Oreochromis niloticus: one gene and its partners. The protein of the gene in region 4 purifies or fractionates together with the protein of the main gene of each other region. This does not show direct contact. Links are inferred from orthologs where the notes say so. Each region holds a gene or a part of one and is shown on either strand. Other genes may lie near its edges. The genes, in order: cdc26, anapc11, ccnb1 and cdc27.

What was found.
Region 1: the proteins of cdc27 (region 4) and cdc26 purify together in Homo sapiens (affinity purification with mass spectrometry; 12 studies listed by BioGRID and IntAct, with this or other methods). This does not show direct contact. The link is inferred for Oreochromis niloticus from reciprocal best matches to the Homo sapiens genes CDC27 and CDC26.
Region 2: the proteins of cdc27 (region 4) and anapc11 purify together in Homo sapiens (affinity purification with mass spectrometry; 8 studies listed by BioGRID, with this or other methods). This does not show direct contact. The link is inferred for Oreochromis niloticus from reciprocal best matches to the Homo sapiens genes CDC27 and ANAPC11.
Region 3: the proteins of cdc27 (region 4) and ccnb1 purify together in Homo sapiens (affinity purification with western blotting; 6 studies listed by BioGRID, with this or other methods). This does not show direct contact. The link is inferred for Oreochromis niloticus from reciprocal best matches to the Homo sapiens genes CDC27 and CCNB1.

What each region holds. Positions count from the first base shown.
Region 1 is NC_031972.2:38,212,805-38,220,321, reverse strand, and holds cdc26 (anaphase-promoting complex subunit CDC26), read left to right. Parts: upstream 1-5,002; 5' UTR 5,003-5,129; intron 5,130-5,141; exon of another isoform or gene 5,142-5,335; intron 5,336-6,545; 5' UTR 6,546-6,563; coding exon 6,564-6,644; intron 6,645-6,769; coding exon 6,770-6,982; 3' UTR 6,983-7,010; downstream 7,011-7,517. Other genes in the region: prpf4 (U4/U6 small nuclear ribonucleoprotein Prp4), read right to left, coding at 643-722, 803-890, 1,052-1,238, 1,434-1,605. UniProt on the Homo sapiens protein: Component of the anaphase promoting complex/cyclosome (APC/C), a cell cycle-regulated E3 ubiquitin ligase that controls progression through mitosis and the G1 phase of the cell cycle.
Region 2 is NC_031971.2:37,631,701-37,639,086, forward strand, and holds anapc11 (anaphase-promoting complex subunit 11), read left to right. Parts: upstream 1-4,551; 5' UTR 4,552-4,710; exon of another isoform or gene 4,711-4,714; intron 4,715-4,818; 5' UTR 4,819-4,827; coding exon 4,828-4,936; intron 4,937-6,326; coding exon 6,327-6,472; 3' UTR 6,473-6,875; downstream 6,876-7,386. UniProt on the Homo sapiens protein: Together with the cullin protein ANAPC2, constitutes the catalytic component of the anaphase promoting complex/cyclosome (APC/C), a cell cycle-regulated E3 ubiquitin ligase that controls progression through mitosis and the G1 phase of the cell cycle.
Region 3 is NC_031972.2:31,328,999-31,336,258, forward strand, and holds the start of ccnb1 (G2/mitotic-specific cyclin-B1), read right to left. Parts: upstream 3,019-7,260; 5' UTR 2,881-3,018; coding exon 2,860-2,880; intron 2,615-2,859; coding exon 2,486-2,614; intron 1,539-2,485; coding exon 1,239-1,538; intron 1,154-1,238; coding exon 995-1,153; intron 888-994; coding exon 651-887; intron 564-650; coding exon 423-563; intron 1-422. UniProt on the Homo sapiens protein: Essential for the control of the cell cycle at the G2/M (mitosis) transition.
Region 4 is NC_031969.2:35,400,285-35,408,122, reverse strand, and holds the start of cdc27 (cell division cycle protein 27 homolog), read left to right. Parts: upstream 1-4,831; 5' UTR 4,832-4,965; coding exon 4,966-5,004; intron 5,005-7,838. UniProt on the Homo sapiens protein: Component of the anaphase promoting complex/cyclosome (APC/C), a cell cycle-regulated E3 ubiquitin ligase that controls progression through mitosis and the G1 phase of the cell cycle.

The DNA of each region.
Region 1 (7,517 bases), on a different chromosome or scaffold from region 4:
TTGTTCGTCAGTGGTTCCAGTTTCAGTCATTGTGCAAAGGTACTGTTTATAAGGTGCCCGTTGTGATTTGGCACTATATAAATAAAACCACCCCTCTGAGGGCGGAACCAGGACACGCTGGAAAGATTACATCTCTGAGCTGGTCTGGAAACACCTCCCTGTCCCTGTAACTGGATCCCGGATAAGCAAAAGAAAATGATGGAACGAAATGAATCGACCCACACACGACATCCTGGCAGGAAATTTCTCTGAGTCCGTGAGCGTGTTCAACAATTATTTGACAGTTTTACTTTAGATTTAAAGGGGAAACCCAAGCTCGGTTACTCTGCTGCTTACATTTCTTCTTTTACCCGAGCATGTGGAAAGACTAAATTTAATATTACCGATTGGTTATTGGTTGTCATGGTGACATGGCTGCACATGAAACATAAAAGACAGCGTTCAGTGGTGAAGGTTAATGTGGATGTTTATGTATTCATCAGGCGGGTTTGAGACGGAGGGATTTTTAGCGCTTTTATCCTTCTGTAATACAAGGACTCAGTGTGGTGCCCTGCCTAGTATCTGTGAGAGGAGTCTGGAAGAAGCGGTGCACTCAGTGGTTCTCTTTGCTCCTCCTCCTCTCACGCTTTGATGATGACTCACCGGGGAAGAGAATATCTGGCCAACCAGAGCCGAGCATCCTTTAGGGAGGGGGAGCCTTCGTGGTACCATGTCTGCTGGCACTATGATTGGTCAGAGAGAAAATGTTTAGATCATGCGACCAGGTGTTCTGAAGCCCCACCCACAGTCCAGGTCAGCTGACCTCATCCTGCGACCTCTTCGCTCGCTCTTCGTCCTTCCTGGATTTCTTCAGAGCATCTGGACCGACCACGGACAGCACGCTGCGCAGCCTGAAGACATACACATGCATATGCATACACTTTTACTTCCTGTTTGCTTCCTGCTTCCTTCCTATCACACTGATAAAGTTTGACAGGGTTTTTTTTTTTTTTTTTAATTACTGCCCTAAAATGTTTCCAAGATGACTGCTGAGAGTGTTATTTTGCCCCACCTTTCGCGGCGGTCAGCTGGTCCCTCTCCAAACAACGTGATTGGCTCCCCGAGCGCACGGAGGCCAGCTTTCACCTCAGCGTCATCAGTGGACACGGTGATCTGTCGGGCTCGTCGCCGTCGCTCAAACTCAGCAAGCGCTTCCTGCTGCCGCTCACTGACCCGCTCTTCAATCTCCAGAGTCTCCCCTGCAGGGCATCATGGGAAACAGAGTTAACCAACTTCCTGCTGTCAATTAATCACAGATCTGATTGGGCAGATGTTATTGATCACATGATCAATCAGAGCCTTGACTGTCGGCACTGTGGTCAGCAGAGGGTGGAGGTTTTTCTAATGTTTTTTAAGAGAGATGTTATCAGAGAAATGGTGAACAAACAGCTAACCTGATGAGATGTTGATGTTTCCCGCCTCAATTCCCGCCCTGACTGCATCGCTTCCTGTTGCTGTGCTGCTTGCCACATTAGCGCTCAGACGCTCCCGCTCTTTCTCCTCCAGGCTTCCATAGAAAACTCTGCTCTTCTTCACGGCCGGAGCCACATCCTCCTCATCGGACATATTGACTTCTTTTTTCCGGAGAAACAACAAAAACACATGAGGAAGATACAGGTGACATTTTTAATGACAAAAAGAAAAACTGCTCAGAAGAAAAAACATTATTGATATAATGAGCAGCAGCAGAATGGCTGAAACTCAAACAATCACCCTGATCAGTAATAAGTGATCAATCAGCAATGTGAATCAGACACAATTCATACTAAACTTGAACACCTTTATTTTGAACTTCGTTTTTGAGCTGCTGTAAGTTCCTGCTCAGCTTCACTTGATGCTGTCGGTCAGACAGAATGACACGCTCACAATGATCAGCATCTGTTACAATGGTGAAATGATCTTAATACACCTGCTGACATGTTAATCTCACCACAGAGCTCCACCTCACTGATCTCCAGGTGTGGGTCACAGACAGGTGTTGCACCTGAGGCATGGATTTCCTCTCATCCAGGTAACTTCAGGTTATGCTGGGTTTCTGTACTATTAAGGTCGGAGACTTCCTCCTCATGCAACTCACTGTTGTAACTGATGGGATTTACCCCAGGTTAGAGATCAACAGGTATGAAATCACACCTACTGACCAATCACTATTCCTGGATGATCCCTCAGAGCTCTGCAGGGAGAGTTGCAGGGTGTTTTTCCCTGATCGTCAGTAGTACAAACCGGATTCCAAAAAAGTTGGGACACTAAACAAATTGTGAATAAAAACTGAATGCAATGATGTGGAGATGGCAAATGTCAACATTTTATTCAGAATAGAACATAAATCACGGAACAAAAGTTGAAACTGAGAAAATTTATCATCTGAAGGGAAAAATATGGTGATTCAAAATGTCTTGGTGTCAACAAATCCCAAAAAAGTTGGGACAAGGCCATTTTCACCACTGTGTGGCATCTCCCGTCTGGGGACCGAGGAGACCAGTTTCTCAAGTTTAGCAATAGGAATGCTCTCCCATTCGTGTCTAATACAGGCCTCTAACTGTTCAATCGTCTTGGGCCTTCTTTGTCGCACTTTCCTCTTTATGATGCGCCAAATGTTCAAAAAAGATCTGGACTGCAGACTGGCCATTTCAGTACCCGGATCCTTCTCCTACGCAGCCATGATGTTGTGATTGATGCAGAATGTGGTCTGGCATTATCTTGTTGAAAAATGCAGGGTCTTCCCTGAAAGAGATGACGTCTGGATGGGAGCATATGTTGTTCTAGAACCTGAATATATTTTTCTGCATTGATGGTGCCTTTCCAGACATGCAAGCTGCCCATGCCACACGCACTCATGCAACCCCATACCATCAGAGACGCAGGCTTCTGAACTGAGCGTTGATATCAACTTGGGTTTCTGCGCAACATTGTGGGAATTGGTGATCCTCTACCCATCTTGGCTTCTGAGAGACACTGCCACTCTGAGAAGCTCTTTTTATACCCAATCATGCTGCCAATTAACCTAATTAGTGTTAATTGGTCTTCCAGCTCTTCATTATGCTCAAATTTACTTTTTCCAGCCTCTTATTGCTACTTGTCCCAACTTTTTGGGGATTTGTTGACACCGTGAAATTTTGAATCAACATATTTTTCCTTTAAACTGATACATTTTCTTGGATTAAACTTTTGATCTGTCACCTACGTTCTATTCTGAATGGAATATTGACATTTGCCATCTCCACATCATTGCATTCACTTTTTATTTACAATTTGTTTAGTGTCCCAACTTTTTTGGAATCCGGTTTGTAAACACTCAGTTTTATTCTTTTCTAAGCATCAATATCTGAGCCTAAAGCCCCTTTTCCATTAGTACGACTGGTTTTCCATAACAATCGAGTACCACCTGATCTGTGTGATCGTCGTCACAGCAACGACGCCGAGTTTCCTGTGAAGTAATTAATAACCAACACGAATGCTACAACAAAGGTGGACATGGAGGCGACGATATACCTGCTGCTCGGTCTCTGGCTTTCAATTAGACTCAGGGAACGGGGCATTGTTTTTTGTAGCCATTTCATTTCGTTGCCTGGTTTCAATAATGGCGTTTTTGATTTCATGAACAAGACGCTTTCATGACTCATCGAGTGGTACCACTGAGCAGCCAATCAGTGGCATGCAGTTTGACGACGTCACATTTAAGTACCTGCTTGGAACCCCAGCCCAGCAGGTATTATAAAAGTACCTGGTACCAGGTACTATGACCTGATGGAAAACCCTTGAAACCGTGGCGAGTACTAATGGGAAAAGGGCTTAAAACACCTGCGCTGTCCCTGCTGACGTCAGGTCAAGTCAACTGAGAGAAAAACACTGTGTTAACGTTTCTGGATTAAATTATGTTAAGAGTCCACGTCTCACGACCCACAAGGATCTGTGTGATGGCCACACTCAGAGCTGTTCCAAACACCAATGAAAGGAGCTTCAATGCTTCCTTTACTGAACAGATGAGACACTGGAGCATCCTTTATGAAAGGGAAGGAGCGACAGACTTATCTGACTGTTCATGAAAACAATCATATAAAAACCAAAGTGGAGCAGAGCATGAAAATGTTCATCATAACTTTTCCATTTCATCCATAAGCTGCTGATATATTCATAGTTTTTAACAGAAGCTGATAAACTCACAGCTGAACTCAGAACATCAGACTGCTGGAGAACTACCTCCTGTTGAGTTGTTACTGCATGAAGAACAGATTTACATAAACACTCTAAACATTAAGATCTCTATGAGCTGCTCACTAAGTTTTAGCTTGTGAATATTCATCCAGTTGTAGTACACTGTGTACCAGAGTTGCGCCTCTTTCAACGTTTAAGGCATCTTCAGTAAATCCAGCAGACTTTTAACCACCATCAGTACATCTGAGCCTGAATCTTTGTTCTTTAAAACTCCACGCTGGGTTTTTTTTAACAGGCAGCTGACCTGGCACAACAAAGGCCTTCGCAGAATCAGGCTGAGAACATGCTGTGTTGAATTCAAATTGTATTTGTAGTCCATCCTCTGAACTTTTGAGTTTCAACACCGCGGACATGTTTACAGGCGCCGCTCTAGGTGACCTCTGACCCCGTCCCCGTGTTAGGGTCAATGATAACGAAAACAGAGATTCGTAGTTCAGACCTCTAAGCCTCCTCCTGCAGCTCTGCACCGATCAGTAATCGGTAACTCCTCACTGTTTCTCACCTGTGAGTGTTTCAGGTAAAGCTGTGCAGTCAGCGGAGTCAGCGCGACCCCGGAGCCTCTTCGAGGGCTGAGTGGCGGTAACACGCCGGAGTACGAGCTAACGGATGAGGGGGTAGAGCACAGTACGGCTGATCTACGCTTGGACGTTTGCCTCACCTGTGCAGTTGAACGCAGCGGCTCAGAGTGCCGTTAAACCGTTGAATGAGACATACTTACCGGAGGAAACGAACGACGCGCCTACGCGGAGCTTCGTGACCCGGAAGTTCTGAAGTGTCTCCGGCTCAGAGGTTGCACACTTCCGGTGGACACAGCAGCTGCAGAAAATAAACAGAGAGAGAAACGGCGGGAAAGAGCATTACAACTCGTATATCAGGTACCTGCACACCTGTTCACACTGAGGGTATCCGCGAGGACTGTCCGTTACCGGTCACTGTAACGTCACTGCGACTTCACTTTAGCGCAGCTTAGCTTAGCTTAGCTTAGTTTAGTTTAGTTTAGCTTAGCTTCTGTGAAATCCATCTGCGTGCGCACAGTGCGCATGAGTGGCGACTTAAGGAGCGGAAAGGTCAGGGGTCAGAGGTGAGACTGTTATAGCCAAGGTATGTCAGCAGCCAGTCAGATGAGACCTTTAAAGGTGTCTTTATAACCTTCAGGGCATCCTTTAGAAAAGCAAGCGAGCTAATGACTGAGTGGTGATCAGTCGCAGGAGATATTGCTCCAATTGATCATTGAATCACGAAGTGACTTCTGTGCAGGAATAGGTGTTCTCATGGTTTTTCACAGTTTTTCAGGCTGCTGGTTCTTTTCTGGTGTTTCCTTCTGCTGCCATCACAACAGCAGACCCATAGTACCATCCACACTCATTTGACTGACCAATCTGAGAGCAGATCATGCTACTGGTTCCTGTCTAAACGGCAGGTGTAGTTTAGTTTCTATTGCTTTAGAAGCAGCTGGATGCCCTGAGCTCCGCCCTGAGGCCCATACCCCGGGTATCTCTCGGTTACCCTGACGTCAATAATCAGGAGGAGACTTCAGGAGTCAGTGTTGCCGTGGTGATAAGTTACCTGGACTCCTGCTGTGGCTTTATATCAATACGTTCATCATCAGGATCAAACACAGACATCAAACAGTGTGATCAGTGATTCTGATAACAAATATCAGGAAACATTTTTTAGATCTGATCGATCCTAATTATTGATCTGATGGAAACGATAACTGATACTGATTGCTGTTATTTATCAGATTTCAGAATAAATTAAAGCTTCTGTGTCTGAGCAGAAATAAATGATTTATTGATCCTTTAACCTTCATCACTTGACTTTTCTCCTTCCTCTGAAAACTTTTGAAGTCAACCTGCTCAATATAGGCATCATCATGACAACAGGAGTTGTGGTCTTCTAAGGTTTTATTTTGAAATTACAGGCGGCTGCTACGGCCTCATGATATTCACAGTAAAAGCACAACAGCTTGTTTCTTTTTGTGCCACCATCAACTTTAGAGGCTGTAAAGATAACATAACATAAGATAAGATAAACCTTTATTAGTCCCACACATTGGAAATCTTTTGGTCACAAAAGCATCTGGAAACAGGAGGGGTGACTTCAATAGAAGCGTGTGATATTTTATTTTGAAAAGGTTCAGGAAATGTGTGCAGTAAATCATATTCATCAGTTTTATAGAACATTGAGCTTGGAGGTGAATCATTTTCATCAGTTAGGATGTCAAAAAGCAAACAGATACTCTGTTGTAATCTGAGTACTCAATCGATATATTGATCATCTGCTTTCAGCGTGGACACAAACTGAAAATGTTGAGGAGGAAACCGACTCGTCTAGAGCTTAAGATCGACGACACTGAGGAGTTCGAGAGCGTCAAGAAGGAGCTCGAGGTCTTCTCACTTTAGTACCAATCAATCAGTAACAGTCAATGAGAATGAATAACAATCAGTAACATCTGAGACTTTAAAGGAAGTAAACTGCAAACAGGACATTATCAGGTTTTCTTTTTCTTTAGGCCAGAAAACGTCAGCGAGAGGAGGCAGAGTCGGGAGGTGGAGTGGGTGGGGGCTCTGTAATTGGTGTTGATGTCATTGGGGGTGGAGCCTCTGCCTCCGCATCGTCCTCTACAGCCACATCAAGGGCAGAGCTTATCAATGAGCGAATCGGCTACAAGCCCCACCCCAAACCGGCGACCCTGCCAACCTTATTTGGAAGTTTACAGTTTTAATGATGAATAAAGTTTGAGCAAAAAAATCTTTGGAGTATCATTTTTTTTTACATGAGCAAACATAAACAATGTCAGAGTGAATCGGAACTGTAAGAAAAACATCGTGACCAATACAGGTGCTGTGTTGTACAGCGGTGAGGTGCCAAATTATGTTTATGGGGAGGCACAACTTTAGACTCATATGTATTCACAGTGACACGAGGCCGTCTCTGGTGCTGTTTAAGAGTTTACATTTTTTGCTCGATTATCATTCAGTGTACAATCCACTAAAAAAAATGTTTTTTTCCAGTCTGGAATCATTTTGATATTAAAATGCTAAATAGGGTCAATATTTTTCTTTCCCGTTTCCTCTTTTAACTCAGATGAGAACTGAGCAATTAAGTTCCAATTGCTTTTTTTTCAAATGTATTAACATTATTTTATTTGCACATAAATGTGTCACATACAACACCAGCACTAACATTGCACATTTTTCACTTATACTTTCTCGTAAATTCTGCATTTGCATCATCTTTTTCTTACAATCAACTTAATT
Region 2 (7,386 bases), on a different chromosome or scaffold from region 4:
TTTTTATGTCTGCGCTGCACCGCTGGGCCACCGTCATCACGGGTGCTGATTGCAGATGAACTTTTTCTTGTGTACAGGCAGACAGACGGGCAAACTCGAGTCGGTAAACGGCTGAATTCTGTGGCACCACCGTTTCTTGTCTACAGACATTTTGTCAGGAGAGAAACAAAAATAATTTGCCAGATTTTCTCCTCGACACGTGTTCTGTCCTCGTAGTAAGGGATGCACTGACTGTGAAATACTAGGCCGTAATCCAGCACTGATACTGACATTTTTTTTTTCAGTATTTATTTTGTTTTTGTTCTAGGTGAAATGAAAAGAAAAAAAAAAACTTTATTTAAAAAAAAAATGCATGTTTTAGCTCTTCATGGAACAGTTTTTGAACATTTAGCCAGCGCAAAAGTCAGTAACGCCATCTTATCAGCTGATACTTGGCTGATTCATCGGTGCATCCCTACCTCATGCTTTGAAAATATATATAAAAAAATAATCTTAACGTGGAACGGCCGCAGTTACTTTGCTTTCTGTCAAGCGTCTGCACATTTGAGGAACTCAAGTTAAATGAAGCAGTCAAGGAAATGCCTTGTCACTGATTGGTGAATGTGCTACTGATTGGCTGGCGCTTGCTAACCAATGAAATGCCTGAATTTGGACGGTTGTGGTCAGTTGGGTGGAACTGCCATCGTTACTTTTCCAGAGTGATGTAGATTTCAGTGTGCTTTAGGGGTGAATGTTTCTTTGTGATTTATCATTTGACAGCGCGCCAGTAGACCACATCGATACTGTACAAGTGCTAGTGTTGGTTTGTTTGTGTTTTGGAGACAATTGATGGGTGAAGTGGCATGGCGGCCTGCCGCATGCTCACGCGGTGATTGGGTTTACGGATCTCTTATTTAAGATTTAAGATATAGCCATTTTAAGAGCCATGTGTCAATGAATAATACCATTTTAGCCTTTGTAAGCATCACTTAGTCACCACTGTAATAGACAAGCGATCGTGAGTCGAATGAACATTTCATTTTCTTTTTTAAAACGTGTTCTATTTGGTTGATAAGCATTGATGACTTCGCACAGATCAGACTCCCCGTCGAGGGCAGAAATGTTCAGCTTTGCCAAGAGTCATTGGGTGCTGTTGCCATGGTTACACAGTGCAGCTGACAACAACGGCAAAAAAATAAGAGGGGGGGGGTTTCCTCATACATATATGCACACAGATGCCACACTGGTTGTTGCTCTTCACTGTAATGACTTCACGCAGCGCCATGTTCCTCGGGCAGCGCACATCTGCACACGATCACGGATCATTGTACCTCGCTGAATTTTCAACAGATTTTCGAGCAGTTTGGGTTACAAACGTTAAAACTTTGTTTATGATACATGTGCTGAAACAGTTATAATGCTTAATCTAATGTTACAGTCCGGCAGCTGCTTCTTTGTGATACTCTGCTGTAAAAAGCAACAGGATTACTGCATCACTTTAACGTGTTTATTGTCCCGTCAAAGTTTGACTTGAAAAGAGAGCTGCAGATGAGCCAGTGTTGGTCTTTCTCTCACTCCTGCAGTCTGTCTTTATTCTGGGACTCTTTAACCAAAACAAGTCCCCCTGAAAGCAGCTCTGTAGGTTTCTGTAGCTCACATGACTCAAGTCTTTCTAGAGCATGTTGGAGCACTTGGACCGAATATCAGATCAAATATTTAATGATAAATAAAATATGAATCTCCTTTAGCTGATATAAGACAGTCGGGACTACTTTTTGGTATACCAAATTAAAGACATTTGTAACGGTAAAACAACTGTGGAAAGTTGGTTTTAGCATTTCTTTCACTGAAACATCAAAAAGAAGCACAAAAATTTGGCGTTATTTATAGGACTGGATGACAGGAAATGCTCAGACCTCGTGAGCAAGACAGCTGTGGCATCTGTGTGTTCATATTTGTTTTCCCTCCTACGAAAAAAAAAAAAATAAGGACCCTGCCTGTTTTTGATACACAAAACTGCTTCTTTTTTTCCTTTTTTTTTAATAGTTACTGGTTAACTTGTGGTATCTACATGTCATTAACTGCAATAACATGAATTGTTTTACTGAGTGGCCCTCTTCGTGATGAGGGCTATGGGTGTGTGATGGGGTAAAGGGGTGAATGTTAATTACAGTGGGGGGAGGAAGATGCCTGTAAAATGTGTTTCTCCACTCTTCTCTCTTCCTGCTCTAAGACGGCACACTTGACTTCACCTGGTTATTCCTTCAGGCGATTTGATCTTCATCTTCTCACAGGTTCGACTGATGAGGCAACAGTTCAAACCTGACTACTGCTTTATATTCCTTTTACTATTCTCACACTTTCACACTCCAGTTTTGTGTGTAGATCTTAGAAAGCAGAGTGGACCTTTTTTGAATTGAAGCTGTAGGCATAAGTAAGTGTGCTCAGATGCGATGGGTTTTCATTTCCATTTCAGTTCATTCTCTTGAACACCAGAAATTTCACCTGCCTCTGACTTTAGCTGTTGGAGGGTGAGCACCTCTCACCAACATCTCACTGAAAAATGAGGGCTATAACTGTCTGTCGTGACTGTTCATCACATTCATCAGTCTCTCTGCTCCCTGTTCATCTTTGCATATCTTCTCTTTACCTTTGTGTGAGATATTGTGTAAAAAGGATGTGTGGATTAATGAGAAAATGGTGGCTTTACGTTTTTCAGCATTAAACTTGAATTATAAGAAACTGCAGACTCCTGTCACGGTTATTTAAGTCCTGTATTAAAATGTTTTTATTACTTAGAACTAAAAATTGCTTTTACATTCCTTGCAGTCATCTGTTAGTGACATGGTGATCTGTGAAGTTACAAATACGGGCCTCATGCTGCATCTCCAACTCCACTAATGATCAAAGGTTCTCTGCACTGAGTGACCTGCATTTCATCACTGAAAGTTGATCATCTCAGATTCTGTAAAATGGAAATGGTGCTTGTTTCCCTTAATGTAAAAATAATGTTAGAAAAAATAGAAACGGATACATAAAATTTTAACAAGATGCAGGAATAGAAAGTGTACACAAAAATGTCCGGGAGAAGGAAGACCAGATGTGCTTCCAGTGCTGTAAGTGTGAGCATTACCTCAGCACACTGGATTGCAGACCAACTACATCTAGTGGACATCTAGCATTACAATTGCTTGTAAAGAAAACAAAACAAAATGGAGACGTGTCAAGGTTTTCATGTATGTGTGCATATTTGTCCTCAGCTCGCTCTTAGCCCATGACTGCACATACACCAAACCAACACCACTGTCAAATTTGCTGATGATGGCAGGTGACGAGTTCAGCCTCTGACTGTATGATGTTGTCACAATAATCTGGACGTAAACACAGCAAAAAGCAGAGAAGCAATGTAGACTTAAGAAACCTGAAGCATACCGAGCACTCTGCTCCAGGCGTACAGGTGGAGGAAGTGGAGAGCTTTAAGTTCCTTGGTGTGGACATCCTGGTCGATCTCACCCACACCACACATCTCCCATCGGGTGGGGAAAGGCTTTATATCCTTAGGAAGTTAAAGATCCTCTCTCATCACCTGCTGACCAGCTTCTCTCAGTCAACAATAGCGGGCCTCATCATCTATTGCTGCACGGTGTGGTTCATCAAAAACGGAAAAGACCTGCTTGGGTCATTCCAGACGTGTGATACTACCATCCCTGAGTGAGATTTACGCAGGATGAGTGCAAAAAAAACTAAGTTTAATGGATACATCCTCAACATCACCTGAAGCAATGCCACAGTCCTCTGGAAATGGTTCTGCTTCTGATTGAGCTCTAACAGATTACAATAGATTACAAATTACAAAACAGCTTCTTCCCACAGGCAAGTCAAATACATCCCCCCAGTTCTTCTCCTATTCTACTGCAATAAACCCCTACCCCAAGAACTACAAGTGAATTAACCCCTGTCCCTCTCATTCTTCATTTTTTGCACTGTATATTATAATCATCATGCACTATTATTTTGCATATACTACCTCGCTGTTTGTATCCTTTTATTTTCATATTCATGCTCTTGTCTGTTTTGATGTTGCTGCGAAAACTAGTTGTTTTAAACATTAACAATAAGGATTTATTTATTAATTTCCAAATGTGCTGCTTTTATGTGCACATTACAGATTTATTGTTGTACAAGTGTCCATCCTGCAAATATTTCAATTTCAATTCTGTTTAGCCCCTTAAAAAATCATTGTTATTATTTCTTATATTATAGAAAATATCAGGTAGGTCCAAATGAATGAGATTGCCTCAAATGGTCAATGATAGAATAAAGGTTCATTAAAATAAGTATGTTTGTCAAAAAATAAGCAAGTGTAAACATTAGAATGACAGCATCACCTTTTCAAAATCGTTACAGAGCTCGTGAAACATCTGGCAGGAGCTCCTTTGTGTTACTAACCTGATGATGTCAGGATTGTTTTCTTTAAAATCAGATCTTTGGTGCTCTTTTATTTTGAGGTTTCCCCCCATCCGACTGTAGAGGGCAGCATGCGCCATCCCGGGACATAGCCTGGCAGTCTTTCAACAGAAGAAGAAGAGACGATTTTTGCCCGGGTTGCTAAAACATCACTTTTATGTTGTAGACTTCAGTCAAACAAGCTCTAAATGATTTGTTTTTTGCTAAGAAACGGACTAACCTAACGAGTGTGAGATACCTGAAGGAGACGGTGGTCGCTGCCTTGTACGTAAGAACGTGTTGCTGAACATTAATATTCAGAAATCGTGTGTCAACATTAGCTTTCGTGCTAGCGTTAGCTGCTCCGGTGTGATGCTTTTGTGCTCCTGTCAGATCCGCAGGATGAAGGTGAAAATCAAACAGTGGAACGGGGTTGCCTCCTGGCTCTGGGTGGCCAACGATGACAACTGTGGGATCTGCAGGATGGCCTTCAACGGCTGCTGTCCTGACTGTGAGTATCAGAGCTAATAACATAGCATTAAGTAACGAGTGTCCGCATTAAAGATGCAAACATAACAAAACAAGATTATTATTTTGGTGGTTTTGCTTCTAAAACATATAACGCTTTACGTATTATCCGATCGACAATATGCCAAATTTATCCTGCCCCTCCCGTTTGTACAAACTAAGTAGTGAGAACGATGGCAGAGACGGGAAAAAATCACCACTCTACAAAAAAACTTTTCTACAAGCTGTGGAACAATTTTAGAAAAATGTTCCTCAAAATAAAATTGTAAAGCCTCAGAATATCGCGTCGTCTACAGCACATAGTATCTGTGTGAAGGGGTTAAGGGCAAAAATCAATAGGATACCTGTGATCTTAGGGCTGTACTGCATTTAAAACAGACGCGATTTTGTCATGGAAATCACTGCAAGGGCTCAATAACATTTCCAGAAATCACTGTCAGTGAAGACAGTTTTACCACAAATATCCACAAATCCAGGTTTGTGTCATCCAAAGAGCAAACTGTATGTGAACATGATCAACATCTCCTCTGGGCTCATTCAAAATGGACCGAGGCAAAGTAGAAAAACTGTTCTTAGGTCAGATGAATTGAAATTTGAAATTGTACTGGGTCACCACATCCTCTGGACTAAAGAGGAGAGGAACCTTCCTGGTTGTTAACAGCACAGACGCTGTTGACACGGTAGCATGAAGGAAAAGGTGTCGCTGTGAGAGGCGTCTGAAAGATATTAATTTGGGATATTTGTGGGAGAGATTAACTTCTTGTGAAGCTTGTCTGGGCTCAGCCTTACAGACAGGATGAGCACTTTAGTCAGGAGACGCTCAAAGCAGAACCTCAGCTCCTCTAGATCGAAAGGAGACACTTGAGGTTGTTCTGGTGGTGTTTCAGGCATGTCCAACTGGGAGGAGGCCCCGAGTTAGGATAAAGAGCTTCCACCACCACTTATCACAGATAAGTTGCGATGGAAAATGGATGGATGGCTGCTCCAGTGACCCATCTTGGAGATCAACTCCAGCTGCAGTGTCTTGTAGTATTGTCCGTAGGTTCTTTAGGTTGATATTGAAGACCGCCACAACAGCAGCTAGGTCTGTGAGCCACTCACTGGAGAAAAGGCAACACGGGAAAGGTCACGGGTAGCTAGTTAGCAGCAACTCAACTTTCAAAATAAGAGCAAATGCCTAAATTGATCGGGGAATGGCGCTGCTCACACAAATGGATGAAATGAGTTCTTAAATATACTTAAGTGGTCTGTGTGGGGAAACACTTGTTTTATCCTCATTTAGTATTACAAGAGGATACAAGTATCTGCTAATCAGCAACTGAATGCAAAATCCTGCCCAGTATCTCTAATGTGTTTGTTTGTTTGTTTTGCAGGCAAAGTGCCTGGGGATGACTGCCCGCTGGTCTGGGGTCAGTGCTCCCACTGTTTCCACATGCACTGCATCCTGAAGTGGCTGAACTCACAGCAGGTCCAGCAGCAGTGCCCCATGTGCCGGCAGGAGTGGAAGTTCAAGGAGTGAACCTGTGGAGGCGTCGCTGCCACAGAGACGAAAGGCTCGCTCACAGACTTTTATGTAGACTGTAAATAAATCTGTGTTGGTACTTCTACTAATGCAGAACACACGCTGAATATGTTTTATTCTACTGGTAAGGATTTGTGATTAAATTAAATAAGAAAAAAAACATGCATTGTATTGAGTCTGTCTTGAAGGTCTGGCTGATTATTTCCTTGGATCGTGAAGTTTGACTTTGATTTCATGGCAGCTCCACACTGATGTATTATTTCTTGTTTGTTTGTGTAGCTTTTCACTGTAAAACAAAGACTGTAGCTTTTCATATGTCAGAACCTGTCTGGATAAAAATGGAAAAAAAATTTACAAGGTTATCAAAACAATGCTGATTAAATATCTTCTATTCAATTTATCCCTTAACTCTTGGACGTCTCCAAAAACATAAATTGTTTAAATAAGGTCTTAAATAACTTAAGTGCTCTTTAACAATTATTCTCTAAGTCTGCATCTCTGCTGGAGCCACTACACACCATACTTTCAGAAGATATCCTCTTATTTACTGACACACTGGGGTTGGAGACATTTCTGTAGATGAGCTTAGATCTGGGGACTGTGAAGGCCGTAGCAGATGATTCACATCATTTTCATCCTCAAACTATTCAGTGACCCCTGCTGTGCTGTGGCGGGAGATGACTCCCATCCGGATCCAGGTGTTTCATCAAGAACAAAGGTGGTCCAACATGATCACTGTGTAATGATTTGCACTGACCGTTCCTTCCAGTGCTTTTTATTTCACTCCTCACTCAGGAGCCTGTATTTTTGTCATCAATGATTAATAAAATGTTTGTACTGAAAAATTACAGTCAGTCATTCTAGATTTGCTCCATATTCTCACCTGGCTAAAGTAATTTAGTTTTATATTT
Region 3 (7,260 bases), on a different chromosome or scaffold from region 4:
AGTCCTTTTTACAAATATGAAAGTTTCTCATGACCGTTCCATAAAACCCATTGTTGCAATTTTGCAACCATAACCTGCACAAGTTTATTCTTGCAATCATGTCAGACACTTGTGTAGGTTCTGCATAGATTCAGCTCAGAAGTCTAAAGTCAGGGATAAGCAAAGGCCAGACAAGCTTTGTTGCACCCATATCATTTAATTTGCCAGGAAGTGCAATAAGTTAACAATGCCACTTCAGCTTTATGCCAACTATTTGTTGCACTCAATTATGGATTACACTCTTGACATTGTTTCATAGGTCTGTTCTTAAAAGAGAACGACTTGAATACTTCAGACCTAGTTGTCGTTTTAGCAAGGGCACCAAGTACACTTTTTTTCTCCCCCAGACACCAAAACCTTCGAGACCCTTCAGATGCACTTACCCATTCTCCAGCATCCAATATTTTGAGGGTGAGTGCCAAAGCGGCACTTGCCACCATTGAAGGTGGTAAATGGACCATCTCGTAGTCAACCATTGTGAGCTCCAGGAGATACTTGGCCAGAGTGTGCTGCTCGGCAGTTACCTGTGAAGAGATGCACGAGAAGTTGATGCACGAACACTTAAACTGTAACCCATCAGCACTTCCTGTGACACCAGATATGCTGCAAACCTCATAAATTTTGGAGGCCCTTCTGAGGAACTGCAGGGGGAGAGGACGACCCAGTTGGAACTTCAGCACCCGCAGAATGGTCATCTCCATATCTCTGATTTGGGCTGTGGTGTAGGCCCTGTCTGTGACGTAGGCGAAGTCTGAGATCTCTGGGGGATACATCTCCTCATACTTTGAAGCAAGGAACATGGCAGTCACTCCAACAAGCTGCAGCTGTTTCTTGGGGACTGGATGGTCCTGTTGGGAGGTATAGTCACCATTAGTGAGATGAAAACCATGAAAGGTGGAACGGTGTAGTGGAGGACTAACAGCATTTATAAGTAGAAGAACCAGGATTCACTCACCTGAAGAAAGCGGTCAATGATGCCCACGGTCATGTACATAGTCTCCTGCAGCAGACGAAACTTCAGATTTACTTGCACGAGCCAGTCAATGAGAATGGCCCTCATGTTGCCTGTCACTTCCTGACCCTGCAGATAGTTTGGTCTGACATTCTGTTCAACCTGAGTAGACAAAAAATGGTTAGTGCTCTTTGGGGAAAGTAGCCCAAGATTCCCACTTTAAATTCCTTTATTTTAAGTTGCTTGCCTCAAGCTGGCGGAGATATTTGTAGATGTCCTTCACATATTCACTGCAGAGCATGGGGTTGTCATAGTCATCTGCGTCGACGTCCCTGATAGCAGTGTGCAGAATGACATCTGAAAACGCTTGGCATAGGTCTGCAGGCTCGCAGCCAGAGGTCTCCATTGGTGTGGGAGATGCCGGCTCGGGTGGGGCCTGCACCTCTGGCTCAGGTTTAACAGAAATGACATCTTTTGGCTTGATCTGTTCAGCCTTTTCAGCTCTGGTTGTAACTTTGGTCTTCTTGAGGGCTTCAGTCTTTACAGTCTAAGGGAAAGCACGTTAAAGCCAGAAATGTCAGTAGTCTGAAAAGGCTAAATAATCTTAATATAGAACCAATTCAGTGGTACTTTCAAATAGAGATCGGTTCCCAGCATGATTGGGCCTCATTTAAACAATCTAGCAATTATGCAATTTCATTTTAAGCTGTGGTTCCTCTTCCGTCTAGAGCTTTGAGTTTTGCCAGACAAATTACAACCAAAACCCACTGAGTGTTTTTCCCAGCACGCTCTTAATTGGAAGACTCACAGCAGGAAGCATGCTAACAAACTCCTGCAGGCATGTTATGCTGCTATTTTAATGTAGCCCAAAAGAGGGCGACATGCAAGTGTGAGTTCTCTTGTTATCAATGCCCCCATTTAAGCAGCAGTCCTGCAGCCATCTGAAGTGCTCCCTAAGGTTAAAATAAAGTTTTAAGACAATCACTTAGGCCCTCTGAATTTTAGTCTAAACAGCACTTAGTTATGCACCACGTTAAGTCAGTTTAAGTCAATCATCTGAGCACATTGTACTCTCAGGGGTTTTCCTGTTCTGTTTGAGATTAAGTATATTTTTAAATTAGAGAATCTAAGCAGGAAAATGTGTAGGCTTCTTTTAGAGCAAGAGGCTAAATGCTGACTAATAACTGGTTCCATGTGTAGTCAAGGCCCAGTGTGCCAGGGGAAAAACAAGTTTAAAAGAACACTTTCATACCCTAACAGGAAGTTGTTTCTGAAGAAACTTGTAAACCAGTTTTATTTTGTCCACCTTAGCCACCGATTTGACTCAATTCAGCATTTTGTGCCCGTTGTTTCAAGTGTGGCCCCACTCGGGCCATTTTAACCATTTGGACATCAGAGCTGGAAGTCACTGTGCCCATATGATTTCACTGCAAAATCCCACCATTTTCCATAGATTTAACAGAAAAACATTTAATTTCAGGATCAAATACTTACCTTTTTCTGTGTGTCTTTGTTAACTGCGATGTTACCAATTTCCCCCAGGGCTGCTCGTGGCTTCTGCGTGGGCCCAGACACAGAACAGGCCTTCCCACCGAGGTCGACCTTGGTGGAAGCCAAGCGATTCTGCAGGAAAAAGAGAAAAAAGAAAATCCACAATGATTATAGTAGTTTGCACGCTTTTATCTTTTAGTTAAGCGGAAACCCTTATTATCGACCTGCTCCATGATAAGAAATCCCAAAGCGACAAACGAAAGCTACGTTTTTGTTTTGGTTTTTTTTAAGCAAAAGACTTAAAGAAAGCGCTTCTAAATGTTTCCCCAGATGCAACGATTAAATAAAAGCAACAAATAGAGATGAAAAAGTCTAACCCGGGTCACTCTCAGAGCCATTTCGAAACAAGCGATGCTTCAACAAACAGGCGAAGAGTCGTAATGGAGAACGGTATGGTATAGATACAAGGAACAGCGAGCGAGGTTTAAATCCTCGCTCGCTGATAGCTGATTCGCTGACCTAAGACTCTCCTTGGCGTCTGATTGGTCGAACGCACCTGTTTGAAATGCGTTCCCCGGACAACTTATGGTCACGTGATTTGATTTCTTGATGTTCATTTCCTTTTCCTGTTACGTCCTGCTTTTTCTCTTTTTCTTTTTTTCTCTGCATTTCAAGTAAATAAATTAATAAGAAGTCACTTTAGGAGGGAGAGGAAATCAAATCTAAAAGTGTATTTTATCGTTATACTTTAAATTCTATTGCCTCAAATTCGTTCAGAACACAATTTCTTTCATTTTGAGTATGATAGACCTTCTTTAACATGATATTTTTGATAGCTCTTTTATTTCATTTAGTGTAATAAAAGTCAATTTCTACCATACAAAGTTGCCTTAGTACATGAGACATCTAAGAGTAAAAATGCCTTCTTGAACGATAGAGGCTGGTTTTGCTTTTATTTTTCTGTTATAGCTTCTAAAAGTCTACATTTCAGATGGAATTTCTCACACAACTCACAATATAACAGTTTACTTTTGTCATCCATTAAATAAGCTACAGTATTTATCGCTTTAGATCTCCGTGTATCTTTAAATGCCTTTGTTCACCAAGTAAAACATATCCACTTAGCAAAAAGTAGATACACTCTGCTTTTTCACTTGGATACATAAATGTAAAGTTGACTCTTATCTCCTTGGCAATAAGTAGATGCATTCTACAACCCAAATTACAAAATATCAAAATAAATAAATGTGTAAAATATAAATAACAACAGAATGCAATAAGATGCACATCATATATATCCATATTATATTTACACCAGAACACAGGAAACATAAACGTACCATTTTACCAAAAAATAAGGTTCTTTTGAATTTGATGGGAGGAACACTTTTCAAAAAAAAAGTTGGGACAACAAAAGCTGAGACACCAAAAGGCTGGAAAAACAGCTAGTGTAAGATTTTATGTTAATAAAAAAAAAGTTAGTTGTCAACAGGTTAGTAACATGACAGGGTACGAAAAGAGCATTTTAGAGAAGTAGAATTTCAAAGAAGTAAAGATGGGCACAGGTTCACTAATGTGCAGCAAACTGCATTTACAAATTGTGGAGCACTTTCAGATTAAAGTTACTCGTTGTGAAATTGTGAAGGTCATCATCTACAGTGCATACTATAATATTATGAAAAAGCTCAGAGACTCTACAGACTCATGTCTGTGGCACTGGACAAGGCTGTGAATCAATACTGAATAGATGTGATCTTTGGGCCCTCAAGCAGCACCACATTAAAAACAGGCATGATTCTGTCATGGGAATCATTGCATGAGTTCATGAACACTTCCAGAAATCAATGTCTGTAAACACAGTTCACTGTGTCATCCACAAATTCAGGTTCAAGCCCTATCATGAAAGAAGGGTACAAGTCATCCATATCATGGCAGTCTCAAGTGCTTGAAAAGAAGGCGACTGGGCTTCTTATTGGTCATCCAAGAGGTTTCTTCAGTTCTAAAACAAGTGACGTAGAGTCCCAGTGGTTTGATCCAGGATGGTTTTTGTTCTCTTGGAGGTCGTCCTTGTGGTTGTTGCCACGATATCAGTCATGTGAGTTTTCCTACTGTGAAAAAAGGCCTGGACCATTACCATCACTGGTGCCAAGGTGTGAAACTCTGTAAAACATTGTCCCAGTATGCTGTCCTGTGAGCTACTGAGGTCATTTGAGGCAAGGTGCCAGTTGAAAACATTAGACCCATTATGAAAAAGTACAATAAAGACCCAGGGCTCTTGAGCAGCTGGAATCACAATGAGACCTCACCAAAAGTCCAGTAACCTTATATGTACTTTGCACTTTACTCAAGAAAGAGTGGCAGTGATGGGAAGGCTGCTCCAGTGACGTACTGTGTAGTTTTTCTCACACGCTGGAGAGCCTTCCTGTCCTGAACAGTGCAGCCTCCACACCACACTGTAACTGAGGCAGCGATGATGCTCTTAGCTCTACATGTATAAAAGTTTCTGGTTGACATGCCAAATTTCCAACAGTCGTCTAAGAATTTTTCAGAAGGTGCTCAGTGTTTTGAGACCAAGTAAGAGAGGAATTTAAAGGGTTTTACTCTCTATATCTCTGCCTCAGTGATGTAATCATTTCTTTGGTCTTATCTACATCTAGAGAATTATTATTTCTTGACACCACACCGCCAGTCCTGACACTTCTATGTATGGCTGGGCCATATTATACCGTTCACGGTAATACCTGTATAATGTTAGGCAATGATAAGAAAAGGAAATATCCCGTTTGAATATGGGTAAACGCGCATGCGCAGTGCCTCTGTTTTCATAAGCACATGTTTTGGTAGAGCATGCAAGCGGGCCGTCGTTATTACCGTTATTACCGATATTACCGAACCGATTTTAGGTGGTACACGGCGGTCAAAAATCTGTCAAAAAATGTTTTAGTACGACTTTCGTAAACTATGAAGCCGCACTGCTTGATGGATTGTCGGAGCATTACGGCTACCGTAGTCGGGATCCTCGCAGAGTAATATGTACTGTGCTTCAACATAATATTACCGCATTGTGTGTGTATAACCTCTTTTTAAGTTTTGTGGTTATTAAACATGGTATTGCTCAGGATATGTTGGCCAGTTTCCCCTGGAAATGCCCTTTGGTTAAACTGTCAGCAAGGAATTTGCATTTGCACTGTTACATTTTATATAGCTTCAATGCACATAAAAAACAGCTGCTTGTTTAAGTGAAAATACATTGATGGGGTTTTTTTTGCACTAATAAAGTTGTGGAGTTGTAAAGTAATTTGTCTTGCGTCAATTATATCGTCAGTTATATCGTTATCGCAAATTTTCAAATATATATCGTGATAAATATTTTTGGCCATATTGCCCTGCCCTACTTCTATGTCGCTGCCTCTCCATCAGCGAACAACCCAATGAGCACTTGGAGAGACTCCCAGAGCTAAGTGAGTGAGGAGAGTTGGATTGTTTGGATGCTCATTTCCCTGGATCCCTGGAGCCCCTGTTTTCCTCCCATCACTACCTTTATGTATCAACCTGGTGTTTCTGCTGTAAATAAATGCACTAAACTTGACTCATGAATGCTGTAATTGAGTCAACTCTGCCCAGTGTTTTTGATCACTAACAAGACATTCACAGGTTTTACAAGAATGTACAAGACGTACACTGTAGAACCTTTAGAGTCACTTATTAAAATATTTAGTAAGTATATTTGATCTTGTGTGTGTGAATGTTTGTGTGAATGGGTGGATGACTGGATGTGTAAAGCGCTTTGGGGTCCTTAGGGACTAGTAAGGCACTATACAAATACAGGCCATTTACCATTTACCATTTGTGTGAATTTAAATCTAAAATAAATTCAGACTTGTGAACCCAGTTTTTGTTTTTAAACAAAAAGAGTTACACTGTAAAATTATAAAAAGTTCAAATAAGTCATTAAAAGCACACAATTACCTTGACATTCATGTTCATAATTTGTGTATTTAAACTTCTGACAAAAACTGCTACATGTTCCTCAGTGTGTGAGGGTGTCATCAGTGTACCGGTTCTGTCTGTCTGTATGTATATTAGGAAGAGTCCAAAGTGGTCCTTTTAATGCTGGTCAAGACCAGTGTTTACCACTTTTAAAAAGAAATCACTACAGCAGCACCTGTGGAAGTTTGGATGTGTCATGTTTTGTACTGTTTTGTTTTTGTCTGCTCTCATTACTTTTAGTGCTGTGTTGATGTTTTGAAATCTGTTTTCCTACATAGATGTTTGCTTATGTGGGGTAAGGGTATGTTTGTAGAAACCAGGACTGCTCTGTCCTGAAATCTTTAGTGGCTCTTCGCCAACAACCCTGCCCTCCAATCAGAAGATCACAATTTCCATGACGTGTACCGGAAGGCAGGGAGGACGCAAACGTAACACGTAAAACTAAACAGATGCCACTACCTCTCCTAGACTGAAGACGTCAGCGGGAGCAACTAACATCACTCCCAGGCGGAGAGAGGACCGAAAAGAAAAGGGCACAAGCGACGATTAAACCTAGACGGCCCTAGTTAGTCAGCTACAAGAGAAATTCAGGTGTTTTTGTTAGCCGAAAAAACAGCGTTTCTGTGGCACAAAAAGGTAAGCCAACACCGAGTAGTTAAACCGCAGTCTGCTGGTTAGTAACTTAGTTGTTTCGGGAAGTGTCTCAGCCTAGGACTAATTGTAGCTACAAACCATTTAAAAAGCACATTTTCCAAAACGAGTAACGTCGACGTTGGTGTAAAATTGGC
Region 4 (7,838 bases):
GACCTGCTCTACCGCCTGAGCTACAGCCACCACAGACCTACACCCTGTGAAATGAAACAGCGTTCCTCCGACACTCTGGTGCTACACATGACATATAACAGACGAACACAGGACTGCTTGAAGTGCAACGTGCAAAAAATGCAAAAAAACAAGACAGTGTAACTCTAGACAGAACAGGACGATACAGACACAAGACAACACAAGACAGTGCAATGGAAATGTGCAAAATGTGCAAATAGTAACCTGGTGTCTGAAGGTGTGTGTGTGTGTGTGTGTGTGTGTGTGTGTGTGTGTGTGTGTGTGTGTGTGTGTGTGTTTTTTGTCATTCCAGTCACTGGGTGTTCAGGAGTCTGACGGCTTGGGGGAAGAACTGTTCCGTAGTTTGGCAGTGAGGTACCGGATGCTCCGGTACCTCTTTCCAGAAGGCAGCAGGGTGGAGAGTGTGTGTGGGTCCTCCACAATGCTGTTGGCTTTGCGGATGGAGCGGGTTCTATAAGTGTCTGTGATGGAGGAAAGAGAGGCTCCAATGATCTTCTCAGCTGCTCTCACTATCTGTTGTAGGGTGTTGCGATCTGATACCAGGGGCGATTTTAGCCCATTTTTTGAAGCACCCCCAAAAATGGATCAAAGCACCCCCAAAGATTTCTTACTTTTTTGGAAAATATTTGCTGTTTGTGTGCCACACTACTAAAAATATAAAAAGCATTCAGTACTTGGTTGAGACGTAACATTTTAACAACAAAAGTATAGATACCCCCCCTCCCAAAATGGTTTGTTCCAGCTCGCCTCTCCCCTACTCTGGCTCTAGCACCGTTGCTGCCAGAGTGATGGTGGCTGACACGCAGCGGAGCGGAGGTGTGAGTGCTGGCTTAAAACAGGACATATTAGCTGCATTTAACCTTCACTTACTCTTTATATAGTTAGGTAGGAGTTAGGCCATGTTTCTTTTTAACTGAAAAACATTACACCCAGGCAACCTGCAGTGTTGGAAACGTGTTTTCCAACGATGTTTGCTACCCTACAATCCATCCTACTCTGTAGTAAAATCAGCGACATTTGACCGTCCTGTTGCTCCCATTGAAATTTAGCCTATTTAAAATCTAAAACTGAAAATTGTCCGTAGCCTGCTGTTGTTGCCACTGTCCTGTTTGAAGTGGAATGAGAGAAGCTGGTTATTTTGTCATATGTGCATGTGCCAATATTAAACCCAGGAGCCACATTCAGGTAAACTTGTAAGATTAAATGATCCGTCAATAAAGGATAATGTTGGATCAGTGTTTCAATATTTATATCTTTTATTAGATGTACATGTAGTTTGGTTATTTGCCATTTGGTTGAAAGTACACTGAGAGGGGACTTTTTTTTTATTAGTGTTCTTAATAATAATAATTTTTTTAATGTTAATGTAATTTTTTCATCTAATTGAATACAATCTATTTGTGTATGATTGTCAGTCCAAAGAGGGAGAGAGGAAAGAGGGGAGCGTGAGGAGAAAGTACAAGGTCAGGAAGAAACAGGTAAGAAAACAGACAGGGAACAGTGACATTCAAAACAAACTGTTAAACTGCTTGAGAGAGTTGACCACCAAAAAGTGATAGACAGATTTGCCAACCTCAAGGTGAGGCACATAGGTTAAATTAAAAGAAAAAATCTGCAGAGCCGTAGAAGTATCTGCAGTAAAGATCTTTTCATACATTGTATACATTGTACCATAGGCAAAGTTGCCTCCATTTTTATAATTTTTTCATCAATATTTTGTACATTTCAAGGACTCAATTTTTGGAGTGTATTTTTATATATCTGTATTGTATTATACATACACATTAAAAGTGAATCTCTGTCCAAAAAATGCACTCAGTTTACTTGTTACTCACTGTGAGCATCATTCATCATTTTCCCCCAGTAATTAAGGTTAGGATATGTATTTTTTTTATTATTATTCCAATCCATTCTTCGTTTGCAGCATTTAAATAACCTTTATCTGATTTGATGGTTTTGTTACAGACTTTAAAAAAAAGTGTTTTGCTTTTCTTTCACAAATATGGGGATTAAATTGTGTTAAAATGTACAAAACAATGATGTCATGTTTTGTGACGAGGACCCAGGCACAGAGAGACTTGATGAGTTTAAGAATCTTATGATTTAATAAAGAAATTTGCAGACTTGCACAGAACTGGTAAAATTATGATGACTGATAATGGAGATGAAGACAACAGACGATGAGGACAGGGAGGAACAGGGGTTTAAATGCACCAAAGAGACAGTCAGAGGAAACTCGGGACAACTGGAGACATTTAAGGATGCAGGGACTGACAGAGACAGGGAAGAAGTCTCATCGTGACGAGTAAAGTTTATCTTGCCTGGCTGGGCAGCTCTCTGGGTGCTCAGCACCCTCAAAGCTCTGATCCTAGAATCGCCCCTGTCTGATACGGTACAGTTACCATACCATTCACACACAGTGGAACTCACTGATGTCTTCACAGACATCTTCAATATATCACTTATCCAATATATCACTTATCCAGGCTGTCGTCCCCACATGTTTTAAAGCCACCACAATCATTCCGGTTCCAAAAAAGTCATCTCCCTCCTGCTTTAATGACTACCGTCCTGTTGCACTTACTCCCATCCTGATGAAGTGCTTCGAACGACTAGTCATGCAACACATCAAGACTGTCCTGCCCCCCTCCCTGGATCCCTTCCAGTTTGCGTATCGGCCCAACCGCTCAACCGATGATGCTATCTCCACTGCACTCCACTCAGCACTCACACACCTGGACAAAAAAGACTCATATGTTCGAATGCTGTTCATAGATTTCAGTTCAGCATTCAACACTATAATCCCCCAACAGCTCACTCAAAAACTGGTCCAGTTGGGGCTTAACACCTCTCTGTGCAACTGGCTGTTGGATTTCCTCACCGGAAGACCTCAAGCAGTACGGGTCGGCAGTAATACATCCAGCACCATCATTTTAAACACGGGGGCCCCGCAGGGATGTGTGCTGAGCCCCCTCCTCTTCACTCTGCTGACCCATGACTGCACTCCATCATACAGCTCCAACCTCTTCATCAAGTTTGCGGACGACACAACGGTGGTGGGTCTCATTAGCAACAGGGATGAGACCGACTACAGAAGTGAGGTGAGACGCCTGGCCACGTGGTGTGTTGACAACAATCTCTCTCTGAATGTGGAGAAGACGAAGGAGATTGTTGTGGACTTCAGGAGAATGCACACCCAACATGCTCCTCTGACCATTGACGGAGCGTCTGTGGAGAGAGTGAGCAGCACTAAGTTCTTGGGTGTGCACATCACAGAGGATCTCTCCTGGACGTACAACACCACAGCACTGGCCAAGAAATCACAGCAGCGTCTCTTCTTTCTCAGACTGAAGGACAGCTTCATCCATCAGGCTGTCAGGAAGCTTAACTCCCTCCCGATTCTGCCCCCTCTCCCCTCTCTCCTCCACGGTCTCACTGAACTCTGTCACACACACACACACACACACACACTCTCTGACTCACTCACTGGCCTGCACCAGTTATTAGTCACTTTGTGGAGCATTGGACCACCACTACCTCATAAGACTTTGTTGTTACACTATCTCCTACCGTACATTACCAAATCTCCATTTGCACTATTTGCCTATTTGCACTACCTTGCCTGGTTTACACCCAATGTCATTTACCCTTACCTGAATATTGTATATTGTATATTGTATAGCTTTTTTTTTGTTATATGTAAAATTGTACTGTATTTATTTAAATTTTTACTTTTTAATTATTCTACTTGCATTTTTAATCACTCTCTTATATTTAAATGTTCATTTGGGTTTGAGAGTAACGAAATTTCTATTCTCTGTATGTCCTGTACATGTGGCAGAATTGACAAATAAAGTTGACTTTGACTTTGACTTTGACACAAACACATTGATGGATGTATTAGGAGAAACTCGGGGTTCAGGATCTTCCCCGAGGATAGTCAATCTCCCCAAGACCACAACTGCCAGTTATTTAAAGCCGCCATTCTAAATGGCTCATGGCTTCATGTCAGCCAGTCTGCTGTTGCTACTAACCAGTCTGAGCACCAGGAGGCGACAGAACACTGAACACCGCTGTAATGAGTTTTACCACCAGAAGGCGAAGGAGATACTTCGGCTTTCTCCGTTTGACAGTCGTTCATGTCCGCCGCGGCATTTTCCCTCCTCGGGTATCTTCGGCGGTACTCGGTTGCTAACGGTCGGTATGTTCAAATGTTCGGCTGCAGCTCCTCCTGAGACTCAAGTGAAGAAAGAGCGGAGAGAAAAGAGACCCCCGGACCGGACAGAAGGAGTCTCAGAGCGGGATGACGGTGCTGCAGGAACCTGTCCAGGTATAAATACACACCTTTGGCTCGTTGTCACGCGTGGGGAGCGGAGCATTTATGAAGTTTGTGCCTGTCTCTGCGCCCCGGCCTTAGTGGTGGGTGCAATCCGTGGTGAGAGCGCTGTTCCTCGGCCGCAGGCCCCATAGAGGGCCGCTGACGGCACAGAGAGAGTTTTCTGCTATTATTGGTGGTCGTTAGTCCGTTAGTACCCTCTGTCACGGCCCGTTCGGGTCACGCAGAGCTTTTAATTTACACCCGGTACAACTGAGATATGTCATGCCAGCCACCTTTAAATATTTGTCAGATTAAGATTCCAGGTATTTCCGATCTAATTAAAGGGAGAAATTGGTCAGTTTATTTGATATTTCATGAATGGTTTTGTTCCGCACATCTTTTGGGCTCAGATCCAAAAAACGAACACGGTCTAATTTTAAAATAAAACCACCCGGAATCCGAACAGGTCCATCTGAAGAGGCCTGAGTCCGGCTGAGGGGAAATGACCCGCGGAGAGCGAACAGACCTCTTTAAAGTCAGTGTTTCACCGGAACCAGCTGTGGGTGGGTCACTGACTGTGAGCAGAATTTGTCATAGAACAGGGCCCGATGTTCTCAGGTATATCACGGAGTTTCAGATGTGTGCAGGTGAGAGTGCAGAGAGAAACGGTTGGATTTCAAATGGAGTTCTGTGTTAGCATGACTCGGTTAGCAGCTAACGCGGTTGCTAACACTCAGCGGAGTTTCAGTAAGGAGGAACTCTGCTTTAAAGTTCATAAAACGATCAAAGCCGCTCCTTGGGAGTCTGTTAATGTCAGAGTCTGACCGCAGATCAGCCGCGACAGATGAAGGTATCCCGCGGCCGTTAGACTCTCACAGCTAGCACAGGCTAATGGCAGCTAACTGCCCGGTAACATGAACCGCTGTTAGCTGTTAGCCGTTAGCTGCCATGTCAGCCGCAGACTGATGGGTAATGTCTCCTCACAGGTGTGTTTGTGATCTCACTCAGGTAAACTGTGACTGCAGAGTTAAAGTGAAGTGACGTCAGTAACGGAACAGCTGCAGTGATCGATCAGCGCATTGATCAATAACTTTCCTGAGCTTGACCCCATCGATAACAATCAGGCATAAACACGGCCCGTCTCACATGATGCCCTCAGATGTGTTTGGAGTACTAACCAATGGCAGCACACAGTGTTGCTCTAACTGCGGTATTGGCTATTGATTATGTATGGCTCGGTGTTAGCAGGTACAGGTGACACAGCCTTCATTTTAACCTAGAGTCAAAAACTGTTTACAGTCAGGTAAACCTGTACTGCTCGTAGTCCTTAAGCTTTCTACTGATCAATACCAGCGTTTGATCAATAACTGTGTGTTTACTGTTGAAATACACTGATTATAGCTGAGTGTGGGAGGAGATCACATTTGAGCTCCACAGCCAGTTTTTCCAGTCGTCTGGCTCTAAGGTCAGCATGGCCGCCTTGTGGTGGACTGAGACGGCTTCAGGTCCTTTTGTAGTAATACAGAGTAATGTAACAAGTTACTTTATTCAGTGAGTAACTAAATGAGATACCAAATTACTTATAAGAAAAGTAACAAGCTATCTCTAACACATTACTTTTTAAAAAATAAGAATAATTTCCAGCTGTTTGCAGTTCTGGCTCAGTTTGATAAATAATGTGGATTTAATGCAAAATGAATCTCAAAAGCTGGACAGATACACCAACACATCTGTGTGTGTGTGTGTGTGTGTGTGGAAACAGCAGGCTTACAGAAGCTCGTCTGTGTCTCCAGATGTAGAGGTGATGTGAGACACATCTGTGCAGCTGTGTGTCTGGTAACGAGGTGACTCGTGACTGAAGTTGGATGTTTTCTGCTCTGCTTGCTGTCATTGCATTGTTACAGTGAAGCGGGCAAATACATTTATGATGTCACTGCGTGTCGTTGTATCGTAAGTGGTGAGAACGGTGCTGTCTCTATGGAAACGAGCGGTTCTGCTTCTTTATCCAAGTTCAAACGGCCCAAATCTCCACACTCTAACTCCTCCCACCTCCTTTTCAGCGGCGTCCTCATCTTCAGAGTCTTGTCTGTCTTTTGGGACGTTGTCACTTTACTTTCCATTGATGTTTTCTGACGTCATTTCCTCATTCAAACTCAGGCTCCTACTGTTAGGACAGGTGTGGTCCTTCCACGCTTTGTGGCTCAGCCTATCCTGACCTGGCTTTGGTAGGGTGGGCAGTTGGAGGGTCGTACCAGTTGGAGCCCTTGAGCTCTGGATTCTGAACTCCTTGGTTCATAATTCATACATAAATCACTCGTACGTACTGTGACTATTTTGTTCCTTCTGCTGCATGGTTAGGTGCTGCAATCATCAAGGACAGAAAAATAATCTCTTTTTCTTCTTTTTTTTTTTTTATCACATTCCTGTTTTGGATAGAAGAATATGAACAAAAATGGATATGGGAATCTCATCCTCTTCCTCCTCACCTTAAGCCTCACTCCTGGACTGTAGTTGGGGCTCTAACATACCCATATGGAAAAGAAATAGTAAAAACTTATATGATTTACTCATGAAAGTGGCCACTTTCTCATTACTTTCATATATTGTTTTAGTAAGTATCCAAAACATACAAGTTTCATTTATATAATTTTTCAAGGGATCTTATATCTGTTTTCACTCTTGTATGCTTTTCATACAAGTTTCACACAAGACAGATACAAACTTTATAAGATTTATATATATCTTTTCCATATGGGTAAGAAATCCTACAAGAACATATTTAATCTCAACATTGTCACATTGAGTTATGGTCAGCAGATCAGACATGCGAGCATCTGAGACATGGCTGAACAACAGGATGATGTCACAAGCTGAGGTCATGCCAGATAACATTAGATTGTAGTGTCTTTAAACTAATTTCCCTCTGATCAACAGTTTGATTACGTTCTCACGTCATGAGAGTTTATTTGCTCAGTGCCACTGAGATAGATCCACTTCAAAAGAAGTTTCATATATGGCCTTGAGGAGAAGAGAAACTAACGGCAGCGCTGTACTCGGCAGTTCATCTCAGTGTCGCTGTCATCAATCACAACTGAGCTACGGCGACTCAGGGCTGGGATCATCACTGATTTCGACAACTGATTCAAAGTACCCGACTCGGTTAGATTCAATGACATTCTGACTCAGTCAGAAATGTCATGATGATGATCATATTTCTTGGATGTGTACTGTCAAAACAACCCTCTGAACCTTGTAAATGAAAAACATTTAATTCTAAATTATTTGAATGTTTCTCTGCGATTGCAAACTCAGTGTGAACTATCTGTGCATGAAAACAAAGTTGACACTGTGAGACTTCATCAGAGGTGTGAGCATCACAGCAGAGGCCTTTGTGTCAGAGTAACTGAGGACAGGTGTCTGTCAGAGGGCTAACACATAGACACACAGACAAACATTCACCCTTTGAAAATATTCTGCAGTA